Linked DNA regions of Sus scrofa. The protein of the gene in region 3 interacts with the protein of the main gene of each other region in a pairwise test. Links are inferred from orthologs where the notes say so. Each region holds a gene or a part of one and is shown on either strand. Other genes may lie near its edges.

Evidence for each region.
Region 1: the proteins of PCBD1 (region 3) and HNF1B interact in binary tests that used the Homo sapiens proteins (3 or more experiments, as listed by UniProt). The link is inferred for Sus scrofa from reciprocal best matches to the Homo sapiens genes PCBD1 and HNF1B.
Region 2: the proteins of PCBD1 (region 3) and HNF1A interact in binary tests that used the Homo sapiens proteins (3 or more experiments, as listed by UniProt). The link is inferred for Sus scrofa from reciprocal best matches to the Homo sapiens genes PCBD1 and HNF1A.

What each region holds. Positions count from the first base shown.
Region 1 is NC_010454.4:39,197,338-39,204,592, reverse strand, and holds the start of HNF1B (hepatocyte nuclear factor 1-beta), read left to right. Parts: upstream 1-2,991; 5' UTR 2,992-3,412; coding exon 3,413-3,756; intron 3,757-7,255. UniProt on the Homo sapiens protein: Transcription factor that binds to the inverted palindrome 5'-GTTAATNATTAAC-3'. Binds to the FPC element in the cAMP regulatory unit of the PLAU gene. Transcriptional activity is increased by coactivator PCBD1.
Region 2 is NC_010456.5:40,866,490-40,873,586, forward strand, and holds the start of HNF1A (hepatocyte nuclear factor 1-alpha), read left to right. Parts: upstream 1-2,329; 5' UTR 2,330-2,476; coding exon 2,477-2,802; intron 2,803-3,300; exon of another isoform or gene 3,301-3,799; intron 3,800-7,097. UniProt on the Homo sapiens protein: Transcriptional activator that regulates the tissue specific expression of multiple genes, especially in pancreatic islet cells and in liver. Binds to the inverted palindrome 5'-GTTAATNATTAAC-3'.
Region 3 is NC_010456.5:73,802,405-73,809,517, reverse strand, and holds the start of PCBD1 (pterin-4-alpha-carbinolamine dehydratase), read left to right. Parts: upstream 1-2,270; 5' UTR 2,271-2,355; coding exon 2,356-2,358; intron 2,359-5,161; coding exon 5,162-5,293; intron 5,294-7,080; coding exon 7,081-7,113. UniProt on the Homo sapiens protein: Involved in tetrahydrobiopterin biosynthesis. Seems to both prevent the formation of 7-pterins and accelerate the formation of quinonoid-BH2. Coactivator for HNF1A-dependent transcription.

The DNA.
Region 1 (7,255 bases), on a different chromosome or scaffold from region 3:
CTCCATATGCTGTGGGAGCGGCCCTAGAAAAGGCAAAAAGACAAAAAACAAAGCAAAACAAAAAAAAACACAATATTATCATTTTCCAGCTAAGGAAACTGAGGATCCGAAAGATTATATATAACGTGCCCAAGATGCACAGCTGGTTAGCAGATCAGAGAACTCAGATTTAGGTCTGTTTGACTCCAGTATCTGCCCTCTATGCTCTGCTCCGAAATCACAGCAGACTTCCCCCTTTAAAGTTCCCATCTCCCAAAGCAGTAGGACAAGCTTTTCCTCTTTCATCCTAAAGCCCTGCTCAAAAGTCTGGAGCCCCAATCTCAGCCCTTCCATTAACTTATTACAGTAACTCCAAGCCACTTCCTCAAAATGCCCTGTATCTTATTTCTCCATCTTTAAGGGGCTCTTCCTGGGATAGATCATGATGGGAAAGATATAAAAAAGAATGTATATATATGTATAACTGAGTCACTTTGCTATACAGCCAGAAATGGCCTAACACTGTAAATCAGCTATACTTTAATGTAAAAATATTTAATACTAAAATGGGGCCATCATAGCAGCCCATCACTACTAGATCCCGTGGGAAGCAAAAACAAGAGTATTCCAGCTATACTCTGGCTTCCTCAATTTGGGGAAAGCTTAACCAAAGGGTTTTAGAACCCGTTTGGTTCGCGTTTGTGACCCACATCCTGAAGGTCTGTCTGTTGAGATATTTATACTTTTCTTTTTAAATTTCCATTGGAAAGGGTTGATACTGGATCCGCTCAAGATCTATAGTTGCAGTTACTTGGCGACCCATATTGATCAGAAGGTACAGACAAGGTAGATCTGGGCAGGAGGGTTCCAGGAAGTTGGTGGGTGTGAATGGTCAGATTACCTGGACACGCATAGGAAGTTTCCCCGTATTCTGTGCAACTTCCTGTATGTTCACAGAGTTGGCTGGGGGTAGGGGGAAGAACGGGTTTGCTGACACCTGAATTTTGAGAGATAAGGAAGCTTGAGAATCCGACTGGGCGGCACATGGTAGTCGGAACTGCAAATCAAAGCTTTGTTGTTAAAAGGGAAGTGATGGCTGGCTTTTTAATGGGTTTTTCCCAGCTAAACACAGAAACCGATCTTCATGACACTTGACTGCTTCTATCATGATAGCAAATGAGAGACAAAGAGTTTGTTCTCCGGGGACATTTACTCCGAACACTTCATTATCCCAGTTGAGGGGAGCTAGGTGGGCAGAAAATGTTCTCTCATTGGGCCGAATGGTGAGGGCAAGGGACTGCCATATGTCACAATAAACTAGAAGACAATAAGGTCAAAAGAAGGGCCATCGTCATTTTGACCCCTTTCCCAGGAAAGACACTGAGATGGTGTAAACCTCCCCCAGAGCTCCAAGCACACAACCACCCGTTTTTCGTGGGTGGCCCAGCGTGTGTTGAAAACCCTGGATGTAAGAGGCAGCCTCGATGCTCAGCAGCCTGACTTGGATCAGCCACCTCTGGAGGTTCAGCCCTCAGCCAGCAAAGGGATTTGATCCTGAGCTGCTGGCCCTCCCCACCCCCACCCCCACCCATGCTGAAATTCCCCTCTTCCTCCTAATCGTCTTTTAAAGGTGGGAAAGGAAGGTGAATTTGCTTGGAAGCTCCTTCACAAATTCCCTGTTCTTTCTGAAAGGTTGTCTTTAATCTCCTGGTCGCCAACCCCAGCACTGGAGCTGCCTGATTCTGAGAACCCTAAGCCTCCAGAGGGGCTAGCTTTTTACTACCGGGAACAGGCTTCCTGCCTTCCCAGAAGGAAAAGTTTGAACACCATCACCAGACGACAGGGTCTCACAGGTGTTCTCATTCAAGGTATACGACACCCAGGACCCCCCCCCCCCACTTGAGTATCAGTATTTCACAGATGATGAACCTCAGGCGTGGTGGGAGAGGGGGCCGGTAAGGGAGTGTCCTCTGCCCTAGGAACTATAGGCCTGTGAGCGACCCATGCTAAAAAGCCCCTTCCCCTCTTCTTCTGCAGATCTGGGCCAGCCTGGAGGGTCTGGGTGTGCCTCCCGCATCCTTCTTTCACCCTGACGCCTCAGGGCGGTGCAGGTGAAACTCCGATAGCGTTGAAAGGTTCTCAGCTTCCTTCCTGGGCCAGGCAGGAGTGGAAAAAAACCTCCTTTCCCTCAGTGGTTTTGTGGGCACCTTCCCAACTTGGCATGGAAGACGGCTGCCGGCTGCTGTGACCTCGAGTCTGCAGAGCGCCATCCCTGACCCCAGGAACCGCTGTGTCCTGGATCTGCAGAAAAAAAGCAGAAATCAGTAGGCCCGGAGGACAGGCGGCTCCAACTATCCATCTAACTGCAGGCCGAGCTTTGCTTTCACTGCCAGAAAGGAGGCCCTGCGATACTAGTTTTGCCGCCAAAGCCGAGGTGCTTGGATATTCTGGGTGTAAGCCAGAGGGCCCAGTGGCTCAGGCGTCCAGCTCCCCGGCGGCTTGGCTAGGCTGGGTGCGGTGCAGCCCGGGGCTCGGGGAGCTCAATTTTGGCTACTCCCTCTGGCCATAAATTAGTCGGTGCCTCCTCCCCGCTTGCTCCGGGGCCAGCAGTTCTGCAAATCTAAACAGCCAGACCCGGCTGGTGAGAGCCTGGGGTCCGCAGAGCGGTAACTCAGGTAGAGCTTACGTGGAGCCCCTGCGATCCACAACCTAACACGCCCCCCTTCCCCCGGGTCTCCGCGTCCGTCCCCCTGCGGTCAGTTTCTCCTCCGCGCGCGGTTGACTTTCCCGGCCCACGGCCTGCGTCGCTCGGGGAGGCTCGGAGGATCTCTGCTCTCCGCATTCTCCTCCATCTCCTTCTTCCAAGAGCACCCCAACTTCCTCTAGCTCTCACCTGAACCCCGAAGCACAGTTTCTTCTCTGCGGACTAAAGGCGGACTCGCAGCTTGGTGGAAAAGTCCCGGAGCCTTCCACACTAGGCTGCAAACGACTTGTTTAACAAGTCCAAAGTTCAGCTAAAGTCTGGCTGCTAAACACAACCGGTGCAAGAAGGCCTTCAGCCCCCCGGGGTGAGTACAATGGACCCTGGCAGCCCCGCTCCCGGCCGGGTCTCCAGCTCTCCAGGTCTGCCTCTCGGGTTCTCCCTCATTCGGTTTTCCCCCCTCCCCACGCCATTTGCATCTTGCCGAAAGCCAGGCCCTCCCCACTAATTTGCATATCTTATATGGCCTAATGGTGGCGATCATGGCAAGTTAGAAGTTTTCTGACTCCTCTCGGAGGAGACTCCGGGACCCCGGGGAGTAACAGGTGTCTGGAGGCTAAAGGGTGGAGGGGGTTCCTGGACTTGGGGTTCGCCTGTGAAACTCCCCTCCACCCTCCTCACCGGCACCCACCCACCCACCCCCTCACCCCCTTCTTTTTCTGTCCTTGGAAAATGGTGTCCAAGCTCACGTCGCTCCAACAAGAACTCCTGAGCGCCCTGCTGAGCTCCGGGGTCACCAAGGAGGTGCTGGTCCAGGCCTTGGAGGAGTTGCTGCCATCCCCGAGTTTCGGGGTGAAGCTGGAGACGCTGCCCCTGTCCCCTGGGAGCGGGACTGAGCCGGACACCAAGCCGGTCTTCCACACTCTCACCAACGGCCACGCCAAGGGCCGCTTGTCCGGGGACGAGGGCTCCGAGGACGGGGACGACTATGACACCCCTCCGATCCTCAAGGAGCTGCAAGCGCTCAACACCGAGGAGGCGGCGGAGCAGCGGGCGGAGGTGGACCGGATGCTCAGGTAGGCGCGGACCCAGGTGCGGAGTGTGCGCCCGAGTCCCTTGAGCCCTGGGCCTTGTGCCTGAACGACACTGCGCCCGACCACTCTTGCCAAGCCTGTTTCCCACCAGAGAAGTCCCCCGGGGGGCGCTCCGCTTCTCTCGCAACACCTGGACCCCTCCCAGTCCTTCAACCGGACGACCCGAGCCCCGAGGCTTCATGATCCCCTGCCCAGGCCAGTGCCCGGGACCGGCGGGGCCTCCCGGGCGGGCTGGGGCTCGGCCTGGGAGAACCCGAGCTGTGGAGCCCTTTGCCCGGAGGTTTGCCCATGCCGCTGAAGGTGCGAGTAGGTGCAGTGAAATCGCAGCGATTCTCAGGGCCCGCCTCAGCCCCAGGCCAAGCATTTCTCCTTGGTGCCTCTTGTGTGGTCCGGGAAGACAGAGGCTGGCTTCAGGCACAGCGTCCTGCCACTCTTTGCAGAGGGCCAGGGGGCACACAGGCCGGGGTCCTGGGGGGCGAGTTCTCTGGCAGGCACTCCCATCTGCAGCGCCCGAGTCAGGCCCCAGGATTACCCGGAATCCCCAAAGCCGGTTTAGATTTGCGAAAGGAAATGTGTGTGCACGTTGCGGGGTCAGAGTGGACCTGCAAGGGGCAAAAGAAACCACGTTTCAAAGCAGAGAGAGGGGTAAATGCGGCTAAGACCCCAGTTCGCAGCGGATTTGGTCGGAGAAAAGAGGGCGTATCCGGATCTCGCCGCCGACACCCCGGCGTCCCCGGGGAATCCAGGCAGGCTGGCCGGTGGTCTATCTCCTGGTCGCGGGACGTTTGCTAAGCCTTCCCGACCGGCCTAGGCCTTTGACAGCTGGTTACTAATTATCCAAGGAGCCGAGCGATTCCCTAAGACCGCACATCCCTCCCGGCCCCTCCGCTTGAGGACCGAGTCCCTCGCTTGGCCTCAGACGCTTCAGCGCCGCGGTCTCAAGGCAGGGCCAGCAGCAAAGTCGTGCCCGGGCAGCCTCAGTCGCTCGCCGGTAGTGGCAGTTTGGGATGGGATATGACCTTGCATTTGAATTTGCTACCTGGGGACCTGGCAGCTTACTCTTCAGCAAAAACAGTCAGGGGAATTTCTAGATTTTTTTTCTAATTTCCCAAAAGTATTTTGCTGCCGTTCGTAGGTTTGAGGTTCCTCCCTCGCGGTTTCCCCCCGTAGCGGCGGTTTCTCCTGTGCCGGATTAGGGTGCAGGAAGGTGAGAGGGGTCAGAAGAGGGGCGGCTGGGGCACCAGAGGGGCGGGGAGGGTGACCGAGGCCCCGCAGCCCCGCCGACCTCTCGCCGCCCGCCACCCAGGCCCCTGGGGCCTAGGCCCATCGCCAGGCCGCAGGCGCCCGCTTCCCAGAGGGGTTTTGGAAGGACCTGGGAGGCCCGGAGGCGACCTGGGGCGCCCCTCGCCACCCAGCCCCGGGCCGGGCTGGACGCGGCAGAGATGTAATATAAACTGCAGCACGTGGAGTTAGGGTGTTATTAATTTATTTCTATAAATCATCAACAGAAAGATACACAAAAAGTCGTGATTAGGTTGAACAGAGAGGCGGGTTATTCATTGGTGAAGTTGTAAACGCGGCTTCGAGGGGGAAGGAAAGAAGGACGCGGGGCTCCTCGCGGCTCCGGGCGCACAAGCACCGCGTTGCGGAACCCTCCAGGCCGAGCCCCGCGCCCGACACTGCAGGCCCCGGCGGGCGGAGAGCCAGGCCCAGCCCCGGGTCCTGGACCCCAGCGCTTTTCGCGGCGCAGAGACGCCGGCTGCTGGGGGCAGGAGCGAGGCTGGGGGGCCCGGGACCGCCGCTGGGGGCGGCTGGGGGGAATTTCAGGACAGACCCCTTTCCCCAGCGGGTGCTGCCTTCCCTTCCGCACCTTCGGGAGTGGGCGACTTGATTAAAGTAATTTTTCAAGAAATCGCTGGCGGTCCCCTGGGTCAACGCACAGTCGGCTTCCAAGGTCCAGATGCACGCACACCCTTTTTTGGCCCACCCTGCTCCCCTAAGGTGGAAAGAAAACACGGGGCAAGTCACTTTGGGGAGCGCCCAGCCGCTCTTTCCATCTCCTAGAAGAGAAAGCGAGAAAGGAAGGTCGCGGGTAATGTGGTGCCCGTCGCGGCCCTGGCCCTAAGCTAGCGTTCGGTGGCGGCTTTTGGAAAGTCGGTTGCTCCCCCGAGAAGCCAGCTGAGGTTTCTTAAGAAGCGTGGCGATCTGAGCCGGGTACAGGGCTTCTCTGTTCGTGGGCGGCCGAGGCATTGTTTGGGAAGGAGCGTCCTGGGCCGGCCGGACGCCGGGGTCCGGCGCTTGACACCTGCTCCGGCAGCACAATACCGGCTCGCGCTTCTCCCGATCTGTTTATCAGGGTTGAGGACCTGTAATCGCCGGCTGTATTTTCAAATTTAAAAAACGAACTACCTCCGGGCTCTTGAATCCGTGAGAATTCTGTGATCAGAGCTGTAAAGGTGTAACTACGCCATCTTACCCCCAACTCTAGTCCCTTAATGCGGACTGAAATATTTGATGTTGTTTATAGGGTTTTCCTGGGCTTTTTTTTTTTTTTTTTTTTTTTTAACCTTCCCAGTGGTTAAGCTAATTCACTCTTTTTTTTACGGAATCCTTCACTGTTAGATACACTATTTTGTTAGGCTTCTTAGACGCACCAAATGAACACAAGCAAAGAAATTTAAACAAAACCAGAAAACTCAATCTGTCAAAGTAGCATGAACTTTTAAAATCCAAATCCTTTTGTTAACTTTCGGAGCTATCGTTCACATCCGTTGAAAGTGTTTTTCTACCTAAAAATATCTGTGGACATATTCACCAGAAATAAGGTTTTAAATGAATGCTGATATTTACACGAGTATGTTCAAAATGTTACATTAGTTTCCTCTTACTCAAGGTGAATTTTCCATGTTTGAAACCGGGACACAATTCCTCATTTTTTGTTCCTGTTGTTACTTTATTTTGTTGTATTACTTGGAAGTACCTTTAGAAATACTTGAGAAATATGCTAAGCTATATAAAATTAAACTTAAAAGTTTGCATTTCTCAAAAACATCTCTGTCAAAGCCTGTTTTCATGAATTTAATATCAGACTTGCTAGAATGATCATGACTTTTCAAATGCTTACAAAAACCTCAGTTTAATTGCTAGATTTTTAAAAATTCATTAAACAAAATTATTTCTTTGTCATATAGACATCGTTTAAAAATAAATCAGTTATTTCATATGCAACCCTGTATCTGTTTTGGCTTCTGCTTTATAGCATTTTTTATTGTTACCTCTGAAAGCAATTTTTCTCATTTTTTTCATGTTCTATCAGACTGTTTTATACATCAACATACATTAAAGGAATGCTGGGGGTTTTAAGTTAAATACACAGCTGCATTAAACAAATAGTATATGCGGATTATTGCCTCTTGAAAACTTTTGTTCTGTACTGGGCTCAGTTTTCTTAGTTTTTGTTTTCAATTTTATCTCTTAACTT
Region 2 (7,097 bases), about 33 Mb from region 3:
AATATTATCATTTCAGCCAGAGGCATAAGCCACATTTCAAGTCCTCAGTGGCTTCACAGGCCTCATAATTGCCGAGCTTGTTAGGTGGGTGCAAAAATGAAGACTTGATCAGCCCTCTTTCCCTTCGCTGGCCTGGCCTGCAGGGCGGGGTTTCTGGCCATGCATGACCCCTGAGAGACGACCCTGCCGGGGGTGGGGGGGCAGCCCCTCAGCACCACCCTGTCTACTCCAGGCAATGGCCTGCACCCCTGGTTCTGAGAGCTTAGGGCCACCTCAGGGGAGAGACGGCAGGAATTTGTGTCCAGGCTCCAACCTGAGGAGGGAAGAGGTGGGTGGGGGTGTGTGATTGAGTTTCTGGCCAGGGCTGGGATCAGTGGGAGGTGAGTGGATGTTGTAACTTACCTTTACTTAAAAAACTGTGATGCTTCTTTTGTTCATCACAGATTTTTTGCATTAATGAAAACATACAATTTATTGATTTGTATATCATAAAATTTGCCATTTGAAAGTGCATGGTTAGGAGTTCCCGCTTAGGCTGTGACTGCGGCTCTGGGATCTGATCCCTGGCTTGGACACTCCATATGCTGAGGGGCAGCCAAAAATGAAAATAAAAAAAATAAAAATAAAAATAAAGTGCAAGGTTCACTGGTTTTTAGTATATTCAAAGTTGTGTAACATCACCCAATCGATATCAGAACACTTCCATCACCCCCAAAGAAACCCCGCACCCATTAAGCAGAATTCCCTGTCTGCTGACCTCAGCCCCTGGCAATCACTAATTTACTTTCTGTCTGTATGGATATGCCTATTCTGGACATTTCCTATAAATGGAATCATACACATCTTTTGTGTCTGGACTTTTTTACTTAGCATGTTTTCTAGATTCACCCCTATCATTGCATGAATCAGGACTTTAATTCTTCCTTCCTTCCTTCCTTCCTTCCTTCCTTCCTTTCTTCCTTTCTTCCTTTCTTTCTTTCTTTCTTTCTTTCCAGGGATCAAACCTTCATCACAACAGCAACCCAAGCTGCTGCAGTGACAACACTAGATACTTAACCCACTGTGCCACAAGGGAACTCTAGGACTTCAATCCTTTTCAATGGTGAAATAATATGCCACTGCACAGATAGACCACATTTCTTCTATCTATTCATTAGCTGATGGATAGTTATGTTTTCTCCATCTTTTGGCTATTTTGAATAACACTGTTGTGAACATTCATGTGTAAGTTTTAGTGTGGACTTTTGAATCCTTGGGTTTTACCTTAATTTTGTTGTTGTTTTTGGCTTTTGGGGGCCACACTCGCAGCACATGGAGGTTCCCAGGCTAGGGGTCTAATCGGAGCTGTTGCTGCCAGCCTGTGCCACAGCCACAGCAACGCCAGATCCGAGCCATGTCTGCGATCTACACCACAGCTCACGGCAACGCCGGATCCTTAACCCACTGAGCAAGGCCAGAGATCGAACCCGCAACCTCATGGTTCCTAGTCAGATTCGTTTCCACTGCACCACGATGAGAACTCCAGTTTTGCCTTAATTTTGAATGTTTACTATATTGTTTTAAAATATTTTTTTATCTTGATTTGCTGGGTTTTCTGGTGTTCCCTTAAAATTTGCGCCTGCGCCAACTGCTTGACTGGTCTCACCCTACTCCTACTCCTTAACTCTTGTCCCTTCTGGCTGTGTGACTTTGGGCAAGTTGCTCACCCTCTCAGAGCCTCCGTTTCCTCCTCTGAGAAATGGGCACAATCCCCATACCTGCTCACAGCTGTTAGGGGCCTGCACTGGGGTAGTGACACACATTACAGACCCAGCCCATGGCACTTAAGTCAACATATTTTTCTTCCTGGGGGGCCTGGCGCGGGGGCTGGCAGGAGAAGGTGGGAGGGATCACATGGATGTGATCAGCCTGCCCTTGAGGAGGGCTGGTCCACTGGCCTAGAACTCCCTGCTGCTTCTGTTCCCAAGGGAAACCTGCTGTTTTTGCTCTCCTGCCTCAGCCTGATCCCTATGAGGTCCTTGGGGGCAGGACAGATGCTGGTCACCCAGAGGCCTCCCTGGCTCCCCACACTTCCGTCTCAGCTGCCCCGGGCCCCCCACCACCACCTCCCCCACCCTCCGCTCTGCCCATTCCCGTTGAAGGCCACAGCTCTCTGTCCCTCTGCGCTGCCATGAGGCCTGCATTTTGCAGGGTGAAGTCCAAAGTTCAGTCCCTTCGCTAAGCACACGGATAAATATGAACCTTGGAGAATTTCCCCAGCTCCAATGTAAACAGAGCGGGCAGGGGCCCTGATTCACTGGCCACTGGGGCCAGGGTTGGGGGTTGGGGGTGCCCACAGGGCTTGGCTAGTGGGGTTTTGGGGGGCAGCAGGTGTAAGGAGCCTGGTTGGGGCCTGCCTGCTGGCCGGCCAGCCCACGCGGTGGGGGAGGCGGCGGCTCGCAGTCCTGGGGCCGCGTGGCCCAGCGCTAGTGGAGCCATGGTCTCCAAGCTGAGCCAGCTCCAGACGGAGCTCCTGGCGGCCCTGCTCGAGTCGGGCCTGAGCAAAGAGGCGCTGATCCAGGCGTTGGGTGAGCCAGGGCCCTACCTTCTGGCCGGAGATGGTGCCCTGGACAAGGGGGAGTCCTGCGGTGGTGCACGAGGAGAACTTGCGGAGCTGCCCAATGGGCTGGGGGAGACGAGGGGCTCCGAGGACGAGACGGACGACGATGGGGAAGACTTCACACCACCCATCCTCAAAGAGCTGGAGAACCTCAGCCCAGAGGAGGCGGCGCACCAGAAAGCTGTGGTGGAGACCCTTCTGCAGTAAGGACCCCTGCCCTGTCCCAGCTCCCAAGGAGCCCAGTGGGTCTACCCTCAGCTCCTGACCAGCCCTTCCCAGTCTAGAGTCCCGTGAGTGGTGGCTTTTAGCATGATTGTTGGGAAGGGGGACAGGGCCCACGAGAGCTTGGAAGGGGGTGGGGTGGGGATCCTGGCTTGGAGGTTGGAGGCTTCCGTCCCCTTCCCTGCTCTCGGCAGGGTCCTGAGTCCCCATGAGCTAAGGCGTTCCGCCCGGATCATGCTGCAGGGGAGCTCTGAGACAGGGACAGAGCAGGAGAGTCCATGATTCAAGGGCCCGGACAAATGTGGGGAGAGGGGTTATTTTTAGCCATCATGACCATTTCTATTCCCCAAACCCTAACTCCCCTGCTAGGCACCAGGACGCAGCACTGGGGAGGGGGAGCCCAGGATAGGGTTTTTGGGGGCTCCCCTGGCCTCCCCAGAACTCAAGCATTCAGCCAGGAGAGCTGGGGTCTTTCTTACCTGAGGGAAACAGATTCTTCAGGGCGGGAAGTGCTCCCCTTTCCAGCACAGCCTCAGGCCCCTACCTCACCAGGGGCCTCCCTGCTCTGCACGCCCACCCCCTGGCTGGCTCCCCAGCTCCCAGAGATCTCAGTGGGTCTGAGCCCAATGCCTCCCCTCTCCTCAGCAGAGCTGACCTGGTTACTAATTACCCACAGGCTTTATTATTTCTCTTTTGTTTTATAAATTTATAAATGGCAAAAGGCTCTGATAAGGCCTGTGATCATTAACTTGTAGGGCTGGTGGCCTGGGGCAGCCTGAGCCAACCGACTTCCCACCCAGCAGGGGTGGGGGATGGGGAGGCTAGAGGTGAGGGAAGGGGGGCCTGGGGGCTGCAGGGACGGCCCCTCCTCTAAGGCTCTGTAACCTCCACCCCAAGGGCTGGGCAGAAGCCCTGTGGAGGTTTCTCATGTGTAATTTCAGGCAGTGTTGAGATGAACTCCGGAGGAAGCCAGGGATCACTGCTTCACAGACCAGGGGAACTGAGGCTCAGAGCGGGGAAGTAGCTTGACTAAGGCCACCCACCTCAGACTCCACCCCACCCTCTTTGATGCCCTCAATGGCTGTGCCGGGGGGCAAGGGGCCAGCTGAGGGGGTGGCTGAGGGGTCTGAGAAAGAGTCCCAGGGGCCATCTCTTTTCTGTCCAAGGTCCTGATCCCAGCTTGGGGTGGGGGAGGGCTGGATCCCCACCTCAAGGGGCCCTCTGGGTCTGCCAGGCCTTGTGTAGGCCCGGGCAGGGGGCAGGGGAGCAGCCAGGGCCCCCTGACTTGGCAGGAAGACGAGGGCAAAGGGCCCTGTCGGCTGCAGGGGAGGGGCAAAAAGTCAGGCATCAGCCGACCCAGGGTGGAGCTGGGCCAGACCTGCTCAGGGCCCCAGATGGGATGAGGGGCTTTCGGTGGGGAGTGGGGGCAGGGGGTGCCAAAGGCCTTACCTGGCTGGGTGGGGCCTCTTGGTCAGCAGCCCCTTTGGTGAGACGGTGGGTGGGGGGAAGTCTTGATCCACAGGTCCTGAGTGGGGAGCAGGGGTCAAAGTGCTCCCTGGGGACCAGCAGAGACCTGGAAGCTGAGGGAGAGGGGACACCTGGAGGAAGAGATGGAGAGAGAGACCTGGAGAAGCAGCATGGAGCGAAGAGCCAGGAGGGGAGAGGGGCTCACAGGCAGCTGGGAGAAGGGGCTGGGGAGAGAGCGAGGTGCCCCAAGCTGTGAGGAGGCTGGAGTGCTTCCCTCCCACCCCATCGGGTTTTCTTTAATGCTAACAGCATGCTATTTACTTTCCATTTAAATTTGAGATGTTGCTATAAATTATCAACCAGCTCCTTGTTCCTGTGGAGTTTATAACTAACTACCTGGGTTACTTATTGTTCAGGTAACAAAAGGGACCTGAAAACGCCCTGAGGGGGGAAAGTGGGGCCTCAAGCCTCAGGGCATAGGCTGGAGAAGGGTGGGCAACCCCCCATGAAGACCTGGGCAGAGAGAGAGGTTGAGGCTGGAAAGGATGGTGAAGAGGCAGAACTTCCCCTGGAAGCCAAGTGTGACTAAGTGTGACCTTGGGCAAGTCTCTTCTTCTCCTTCTGCCTCCATTTCCCTTCCTGGACAATGAGTAAAATTCCAACTCCCTGCCCTGGTTCCCTGCCCTCTTCCTAAGGGACCTCTCTCCCTCTCTCCCTCCCTTCCCTCCAGTTACACTACACTGACTTTGCTGATCCCCACCTCAGGGCCTTTGCACATGCTGTGCCTTCTGCCTGGAGCCCTCTTTCCAGCTCTTCTCAGGGCCAACTCCTTCTTCTCTTTCTGCTCAAATAGCACCTCCTCAGGGAGGCCCTCCCTGACCACCCTTCTGAAATTAAGTCCCCCCCAGTCACTCCCTCCTCCACCGCTTTCATTGACTTTCTCCTGAAACTTAATCATTATTTAGGATAAGTTTAAATGATAAAATAAATAAAAAGATCATTATTTATCTTCTTTGTTTTTCATCTCCTGCCATGACAACAGAAGCTCTTTCAGAGCCCTGTTCACCAATCATACATCTGATATCCAGCCCTGTGGCTGACATGGGGCATGAATGAATGCATGACTAGGTTTCCCTGAGGCTCTGGGGACATCTGCTGCTATGGCCAAGGGAGGAACCTGTACCCAGGGCCTCCAGTCCTTGAGTAGCTCAAACCCTAATCTTGAAGGTCTCTGACACTCTCTATTGCGCAGTGACAAGGCATTGAGACCCAGGAAGACAGTGGCCAAGGGGGGACAATCTGACACCCCTGATGAGGCCAGCCTGCCTGGGCTCAAACCTTAGCTCTGCCCATTCTAGCTCAGGCAGATGATTTCATTTTTCTGAACCCCAGTGTTCTCTGCAAGGTGGCGCTGATGATAACGCTTATGTATGGGGTTATAACACCTAAGAGCAGCAAATGGTTGCTGTGGCCGGTGATCCCATTTTACAGATGAGCTAAGTGAGGCTCAGAGAGACCTGCCCAAGATAACTTCTGCAAAGCAGTAAGGCCAGGACTTGGACCTAGGTCCCTGAGGTTGCGTGCTGGTCTTTGATACTTTCATCTCCCTCTTTACCCTGTCAGTCTTGCTGGGAACATGACAATCACCTCACTTCCATGCAGTGCTCTGGGGCTTACACAGGGCTTACAAAGGCATAAACTCCTTTCTCCTCCTGACAACCTAGGAAATGTTATTAGCCCCATATCAGAGTTGAGGAAACTGAGGCACACAGAAGTTAAGCAACTTCCCAGGGCCACCCGGAGATTGAGTGGCTGACCTGAAATTCACCCTGAGAACTTGGGCCCCCTCCAGAGGAGTGGCCCTTTGGGCTGGTCTCTCAGCTCCGCAGCTTTGGACCCACTGAAACCCCGTGGGCTAGTGAGCAAAAGGCCCCAAGACTTGAACCTCTGATTGACCCCAGAACAGGGGAGGAAGGAGATGTGGACAGATCTTCCCCTCTCCTGGGCCCTCTTCTCTCTGCTGGGGGGACCAGGGGTTCAGGACCACATGGCTGATGAGAGTGATAACCTTACTTTTCCACTTACTGAGCACATATTCTGTGCCAGGCGCTAGCCTCAGCGTTTCACTCCTATTAGAAACGCATTCAGTGCTCCCAACAGCACTGGCGGGCAGGCATGGATTTATGGCCACGTTACAGGGGAGGAGTTGGGGGGTGCACGCACCAGGTTCGAGGTCGCAGTGGCGGGATCCGAACCCAGATTAGTTTCACTCTCAATCTATTAGAGTGAAAGCATGAGATGCCTGGAGACCTGGCCTCTTAGCTCTGAGTTGGGGAAACTGTCCTGAAAAAAAGCCAGGTTCTTCGAGACTCTGTGTGTGTGTGCCCATGTCTGTCTGTCTGTCTGTCGTGTGTATGTCTGTGTGTTGGGGGGTGGGTAGGAGAAAGAGCAGAAAATAGAGAGGCAGAGACAGAAGGAGAGAGTGAGAGAAATAAAGATAGACATAGACACATGGGGTCAGATGGACTGGGACAGGTAGTAAATCTTTAGTCTGAGCCAGGAGAGGCCCTGGTGAAGGAAGGCTGGGCAGCTTCTCTCTGGAGAAGAAGCAGAGGGAGGTGGCTCTCTCAGGAGGGCGATGACTGTGTTGGGGGGAGGGAGCAGGGAGGCCGTGGGGCAGCCCAGCCCCAGAATCAGATAAACATGTTTGCCAGGGAGCACAAGGCTGGACTTTGTCCTACCCTTCCCTCCTAGCTCTAACTGGCACCAGGGGAGCAAGGGAGGTGGCAAGGAGAAGGTTCTGGGAGCC
Region 3 (7,113 bases):
ACTTGGCTGTCCTGAGACCTCAGCTCCCTGGCAAGCTAAAGAAAAGTGATGAATTTGTATTATTCTCATTGTCGATGTAAGAGTTTCCAGCTTCCTACACCCTAGCGAGCTGAAGCCCAAATCCTCTCTGTCTTTGAAACCTCTTCTCCCACCTTCTCCCCACCAAGGTTCCCAAGCTAATGCTACCTGTCTGAGGTTAGTCTTAATACTCCACTTCCAGGTACCAGTTTTTATTTAGAAATTTATTTGTTCTGTTGTCTATCGCTGCAGAACAAACAATCTCAAAACTGGGTGGCTTGAAATGTCCTATTATTTCTCATGGTTCCATGAGTTGCCTTGTTTCTGCCAGGCAGTGTTCTCACTTGGGATCTCACATGAGACTGCAGTCAGATGTCTGCTGGGGCTGAAGTCATCTGAAGGTCTGGGCGGCTAGGAAGCCTCACTCCTGTGACTGATGGATGATTAGCAGAAGCCATAAGGCAGGAATCCTGGAAGTCAAGGTTCACTCAAGGGCCATCTTTGAAGGCTAGCCTACATCCTGCTTCAAGTTGCATGTAAAAGGGGACCTTTCATACTACCGTCTTAAGTTTTCCCAACTGTAAAGTTAGCAGAAGGAAAAGGGACTATATTTTTGTGGCAGGGGTGGGCGGGACTTGCCAAGTAAACCTTCAAAAGCACAAATTTCTAGGGGAAAAAATATAAATCTTACCACACCAAAATATAAGATTTCTTTTTTAAATTACTCAATGAATTTTATTACATTTATAGTTGCACAATAATCATCACAACCCAATTTTGTGGCATTTCCCAAAGTATAAGATTTCTGCCAACAAAGGATATCCTGGAAGATGACAGGGTACAGATGGCTGAATGGGAAGATATTTGCAATATCTGAACCGACAAGCAGTTAATGTCTAGATAGCTCCCAAAAACCAACTTAAAAAGACCACTCTAAATTCTGTAAAATAAAACGAAAAACTATTAAATATAGAAGAAAACACAGGAGAAGAATCTTTGTGACCTAGGATTAGGCAACGATTCCTAGTTACAACACCAAAATACCAATCCATAAAAGAAAGAGTTGATAAATTGGGTGTCATCAAAATCAAGAACATTCGCCTTTTGAGAGACATTGTGGAAATGCAAACGAAATATGCCAAATCACATATCTGATAAAGTGCTTGTATTCAGAATGAAGAACTCTCAAAATGCAATAAGAAAACAAACTATTACTTTTAATGGGCAGGAAATTTGAACAGGCAATTCACCAATGACTGACCATTGGCAAATAAGCACATGAAAAGATATTTAATATCATTAGTCATTAAGGCAACTGAAAACCACCAGTGAGATACTACTGTGCACCAATTAGAATGGCTAAATAATAAAAAGATTGGCTTAGGAGTATTCCCTCTAGGTGAAGGTGAAGCTGCACTGTCATATGCCACTGGTGGCAGTGGAAAATAGTCCTGCTACTTTGAGAAGCAGTTTGGCAGTTTCCTAACAACTTATAAGCATATACCTGTTCTATGACCTAGCCATTCCATTCCCAGGTATTTCCCCAAGAAAAATTAAAGCATATATCCAAAGACTTGCAGGCAAACTTTCCTAGCAGCTTTATTTGTACTAATCAAAAACTGGAAACAACCCAAAGTCCAACAAATTGTAGTATATCCATTACAATATAATACTGTAAAATAATTTCTACTTAGTTATCAAAGGGAAAACTATTGATATATGCATCGACATGGGTAAACCTCAAAGTAATTACGCTGAGTGAAAGGAGGCAGATCTAAAAAGAGGGTAACCCATATGATTTCCATTTACATAGCCTTCCAGAAAACGCAATCTAATCTATAGTAAAGGCAGCAGGTCAATAGATCTCTGAGGAGGGAGGAGGCAATTTAGGGCTTGTGGTCATGTCCTCGTCATCGTGGTGATGGTTGCAAGGATGCATACATATGCCAAAAGGCATCACATTGTACACTTTAAATACGGGCAGTGTATTGTGTGGGTTTATTCCTCAGTAAGACGTTTTTCTAAAAAAGAAAAAGCAATCTGGCGTCGAGGGTCACACAGCTGGTAAGGGGCAGTGCGCGATGCATAAACCCAAGTCTGCGTTAGGAGCCCACGCGTCCTTAACCTCTGACCTCGCTGCAAGCTTGGCAATGAGGAAAGTCCTGGAAGGGAGCCGCAGCTGGAGTTAATGATTACGGGTGGGCGGCCCCTGCCCGGCCTCGCTCCCGCCCCGGGCGGCCCGAGCGCTGCCCCGCCCGACGGCTTCCCGGTGCGCCGGGCTTCGCGCTCTTCCGCTCCGCTACCACCTGCTGATCGCCCGCGTCTGCGCCGCCCGGCATGGTGAGGGGCGGCCGGGTTAGGAGGGGGGTGCGGCGGAGAGGAAGGGGCCCGCCGAGGCCGGCCCAGGGGACCCGGCCAGGAGCGGGGGGGCGGTCCCTCCCAGCTCCTTGCACAGCAGCCGCGCCGGCCTGGGGGAATCGGGGTCTCTGTCCCGCCGGTACCCCACCCCGCCAGTGGTCCCCTGGGGGAAAGCTGAGGTCGGAAGCGGGGCGGTGGCAGGTCTGGGTGACGGCGAGGCGGGAGCCCAGGCTTTCCCCGGCTCCCTGGCCATCTGTGCCTGAGGCCTCAAGGCCGCGCAGGCCCTGCTTAGAGAGCTCTCCCGGTGGGGGTGGGGCAGTGAGACGGGCAGCGGGGAGGGGACGTAGTGAGCCTGCAGACGTAGCCCTCCTTGGTGGCATGATTCTGTTCTACACTGGGGGCTAGGGTAGGGACCGGGTGGTCGGGGGTGGGGGGAAGCCTTGTGAGTGTGCAAAGGGGGCGGGGCGACTGAATTTGCATGTGCCTCTGCCTGCCTGTTTACTGCCCTTCTCTCTTGCACTTCTGCTCAGCCCTGTGTGCTGCCCCCAACCTGAGAGCCAGCCCCCCCGGGGGGGCACCTAGTTTGAGGCCTGTGCCCAGCCACGGGTGACATGATTGCTCAGAGTCATCCACCGTCTGCCCTGAGCTTTCCCTGAGGGGAGCCTTAGGCCCTGTGCTCAGATGTGGCCTGGGAGGATAGGCCAGCCTGCACAGCAGGAAGCTTTACTAAGCAGTCAAAGCATTAGGCCCCAAAGCCTTAGGAGCGACTAGGGCTGTGATGAGGCCTGGGAGGGCATTTTGAAGGCTATGACTTGGGTGGAGGGGAGGTGGTGAGTGAGCCCATTGTGAGGTGCACTGAGGCCCCAAAACTGTAGGCTGCAGGTAATCAGTAACACCCACAGCCTCCCTGGGCCCAGGCTGAGGCCAGGGCTGACCTGTGACTTACTAAGCAAACACACCCCTGCCCCCTCTCTGATCCCAGATCTCAGAGGGGCTCCTCAGTTCAGCCCCAGGCTGTGAAATGTGGGGGGGGGGTTCCCGAAGATTCTAAAGAGGAAGGGGAGCCTCCTAGGAGCTCCTCTAGTGCACATGTCCTCCTTTCAGAGCCAGAGAACTAGAGGCTGGAAACACGGACCAGGTTTATCAGCCACTGAGACAGGGCCGGCTCTGGAACAGAGACGGGTTTGGGCGGTGATGCAGGACTCCACTGCCCTCGCTGGCCTTCTGGAGCCCAGGAGAGGAGACAGACCAAGCCGGGGTTGTCCAGAGGGAATGTGCGCTTTCAGGAGGGAGAACAGGTTGAGTTATAAGAGCCCAGTTCTACCCCAAACCTAAAGGCCTGTCACAAGCCTACTTGCCCCCAGGAAGTCTCCTTTTAAAAAGGCAGATGACATCGGGAGTTCCTGTCATGGCACAGCAGAAACAAATCTAACTAGCAACCATGAGGACTCAGGTTTGATCCCTGGCCTTGCTCAGTGGGTTAAGATCGGGCATTGCCAAGAGCTGTAGTGTAGGTCACAGACACGGCTCCGATCCTGTGTTGTGTGGCTGTGGTGTAGGCCAGCAGCTACAGCTCTGATTAGACCCCTAGCCTGGGAACCTCCATATGCCGTGGGTGCGGCCCTAAAAAGACAAAAACAAAAGGGAGATGTCATTCCTTTAGTAACAGTGGAGTGTCCTAAAGTGCCCCTTGGCTTCTCTTGCTGATCACTGAAGTGGCAGTTCTTGTGCCCTTTTTCAGCTGTTGAGCCAGGGGAGATGACCGCCTCAAGCCCACCTGGCTTCCAGTCTTCCAGGACCGCCTCATAAAAGCCAGATTAACCTTCCTCAAGTGCTCTCCCCAGGCCTTACTGACTCACTTCTCATTTAGCACTTACACTTTCCACCCTCAGGTAGTTCTACTTTAGGGGCCTCAATACTGGGATCCCTTAAGCGCCTCCACCTGGATCTTCTTAGAGGTGGAAACTGACCTTTGCTTGCTTCTGTTCTCTGAGGGTTCCACTCACGGCCTGAACTGCGCCAGTTTGGGCAGCGTGCACAGCGGGTGATAGGCTGGGGCACTGGCCTTGCCCTTTGCCCTTGGCCAAGTTACATCTGCTTTGGGGGCTGAGCTCTGTGGCTCTGGCTTCCTGAGGTGACACAATAGAAAAGAAGGTGAGAATCTGAGAAACGTAGGCCCAGAAGCTGGGAACCAGAGGCTGCGTGGGAGCACGGTGCAGTACGCACTGGGAGGTGCTGCCGGGGGTCGTGGACTCTGGTGTGACTAAGAATTGCCTGGAACATGTCTTAAGCCTGGGTCCCTTTGCCTGGCCCCAGGCATGCAGACGGAGAGACCCGCCTTGAGAACGAGGCCTGTGCTTTCACTGATGGAGGCTGGGGAGCGGGGAGAAGGGTGGCCTTCTCCCCTCTCTAGGCCCGTTTCCTCTTCAATACAGAGTGAGTAAGGTCTTGATTTGCTTTTACTCCCCTATTAACGATAGAGACCTAGTTTTTGTTTGGTTTGGTTTTTATGGAGGGCCACCCTCTGTAAGGCTTCGGGGGCAGATGGAGGAGGCGTGTTTCTCTGGCCCAATGATTTGCATCACACCTCAGGACCGTCTGTTCTCTAAGAACCTATCCGTGCTCGAGCCAGAGCCCCACCTCCCAGTCTGTTGCTTTAGACCAGCTGCCCTTTGACTGCGTCACTGTCACTGGAGGCTGGCTGAATGTCCCCAAAGGTCCAGGGCCCTCTCTGTTGTCCTGTTCAAACAAATGCCCGTGGGCCTGTGTGTTTTCCCTCTCCTAGGCTGGCAAAGCGCACAGGCTAAGTGCGGAGGAGAGGGACCAGCTGCTGCCAAACCTGCGGGCCGTGGGGTGGAACGAGCTGGAAGGCCGGGATGCCATCTTCAAGCAGTTTCATTTCAAAGACTTCAATAGGGTATGGCGCCAGGGTGGGACGGAGTGTTCTGAGCGGATGGGGGTCACACTCTGGACGTGTTCCCTCCCCGAAAGTCCTGTTAGTCGTGACTCTCAGACGCTACACCAATCCAGTTTCCAGTTTATTTGGAAAGCGTCATGCTCGGGAAGCAGAGGGTGGGGAGACGGGTCTTGGGCTCTCCACACCTGGAACTTTTGTTTTACGTTGTGTTGAAGTATAGTTGATGTACAAGGTTGTGATCATTTCTGCTGTACAGCAACGTGATTCAGTTCTACGTGTACGCACAGCCATTCTCGTTCCGTTTCTTTCCCCACATAGATTATCACCAAGTATTGGGTAGAGTTCTCTGTGCTGCACAGCAGGTCCCTGCTGGTCAGTCATTCCGTATGCCTCAGTGTGCATATGCCAATCCCCAACGCCCAGGCCATCCTCCCTCCCCCCCACCCCATCCCCTTTGGTAACTGCAAGGTTTTGAAAGTCTGAGAGTCTATTTCTGTTCTGCAAAGAAGTTCATTTGTAAACCTTTTTTCCATTTTTTTAATTACTCAAGTGAATTTATCACATCTGTAGTTGTATATTGATCATAACAATCTGATTTCACAGGATTTCCATCCCACAGCCCAGGCACATCCCCCCACCCCCCAAACTGTCTCCTCCGGAGACCATAAGTTTTTCAATGTGAGTCAGCATCTGTTCTGTAAAGAAGTTCAGTCTGTCCTTTTTTCAGATTCCACATGTCAGTGAAAGCATTTGATGTTGGTGTCTCATTGTATGGCTGACTTCACTTAGCATGATAGTTTCTAGGTCCATCCATGTTGCAAAAAATGCTGGTATTTCATTCTTTTTAATGGCTGAGTAATATTCCATTGTGTATATATGTACCACATCTTCTTGATCCACTCCTCTGTCAATGGACTTTTTTTTTTTTTTTTTTTTTTTTGCTTTTTAGGACAATACCTGCAGCATATGGAGGTTTCCAGGCTACAGGTCAAATCAGAGCTGTAGCCACTGGCCTACGCCACAGCCATGCCAGATCCAAGCCATATCTGCGACCTACACCACAACTCATGGCAATGCTGGATCCTTAACCCACTGAGTGAGGCCAGGGATCAAACCCACATCCTCATGGATCCTAATCGGGTTCGTTAACCATTGAGCCATGACAGGAACTCCCATTTGTATCCTTTTTTAAGATTCCACATATTGGAGTTCCTGTCATGGCGCAGTGGAAACGAATCCAACTAGGAACCATGAGGTTGCAGGTTCGATCCCTGGCCTCGCTCAGTGGGTTAAGGATCCAGCGTTGCCATGAGCTGTGGTGTAGGTCGCAGACGTGGCTCGGATCTGGCGTGGCTATGGCTCTGGTGTAGGCTGGCAGCTATAGCTCTGATTTGACCCCTAGCCTGGGAACCTCCATATGCTGCAAGTGTGGCCCTAGAAAAAAGACAAAAGACAAAAAAAAAAAAAAAAGATTGCACATATAAGTGATATCATATGATGATTGTCTTTCACTGTCTTTTAGAAACAATCCTTAGAGGAGCCTGTTCAGGTAGGAAAAAGATGGACCAAGACTCAAAACCTCTCTGGTGTTTTCATCCTGTTAGTGATCCTGATAACGAGACGCCCCACTGCAGGTGGCCCACCTCACACTCCAGCCTCAGAACTGGGGAAGGCTGAAAGCTCGAAGGGCCATCTTCCTCCTGCATCTGGGCCTTACACTGGCCATGAAAAGGGGTCAGCAGTTGGCTCTCTCAGGACATTAACCTGAGTCTCATTGCACTAAACAGGCTTTTGGCTTCATGACGAGAGTGGCCCTGCAG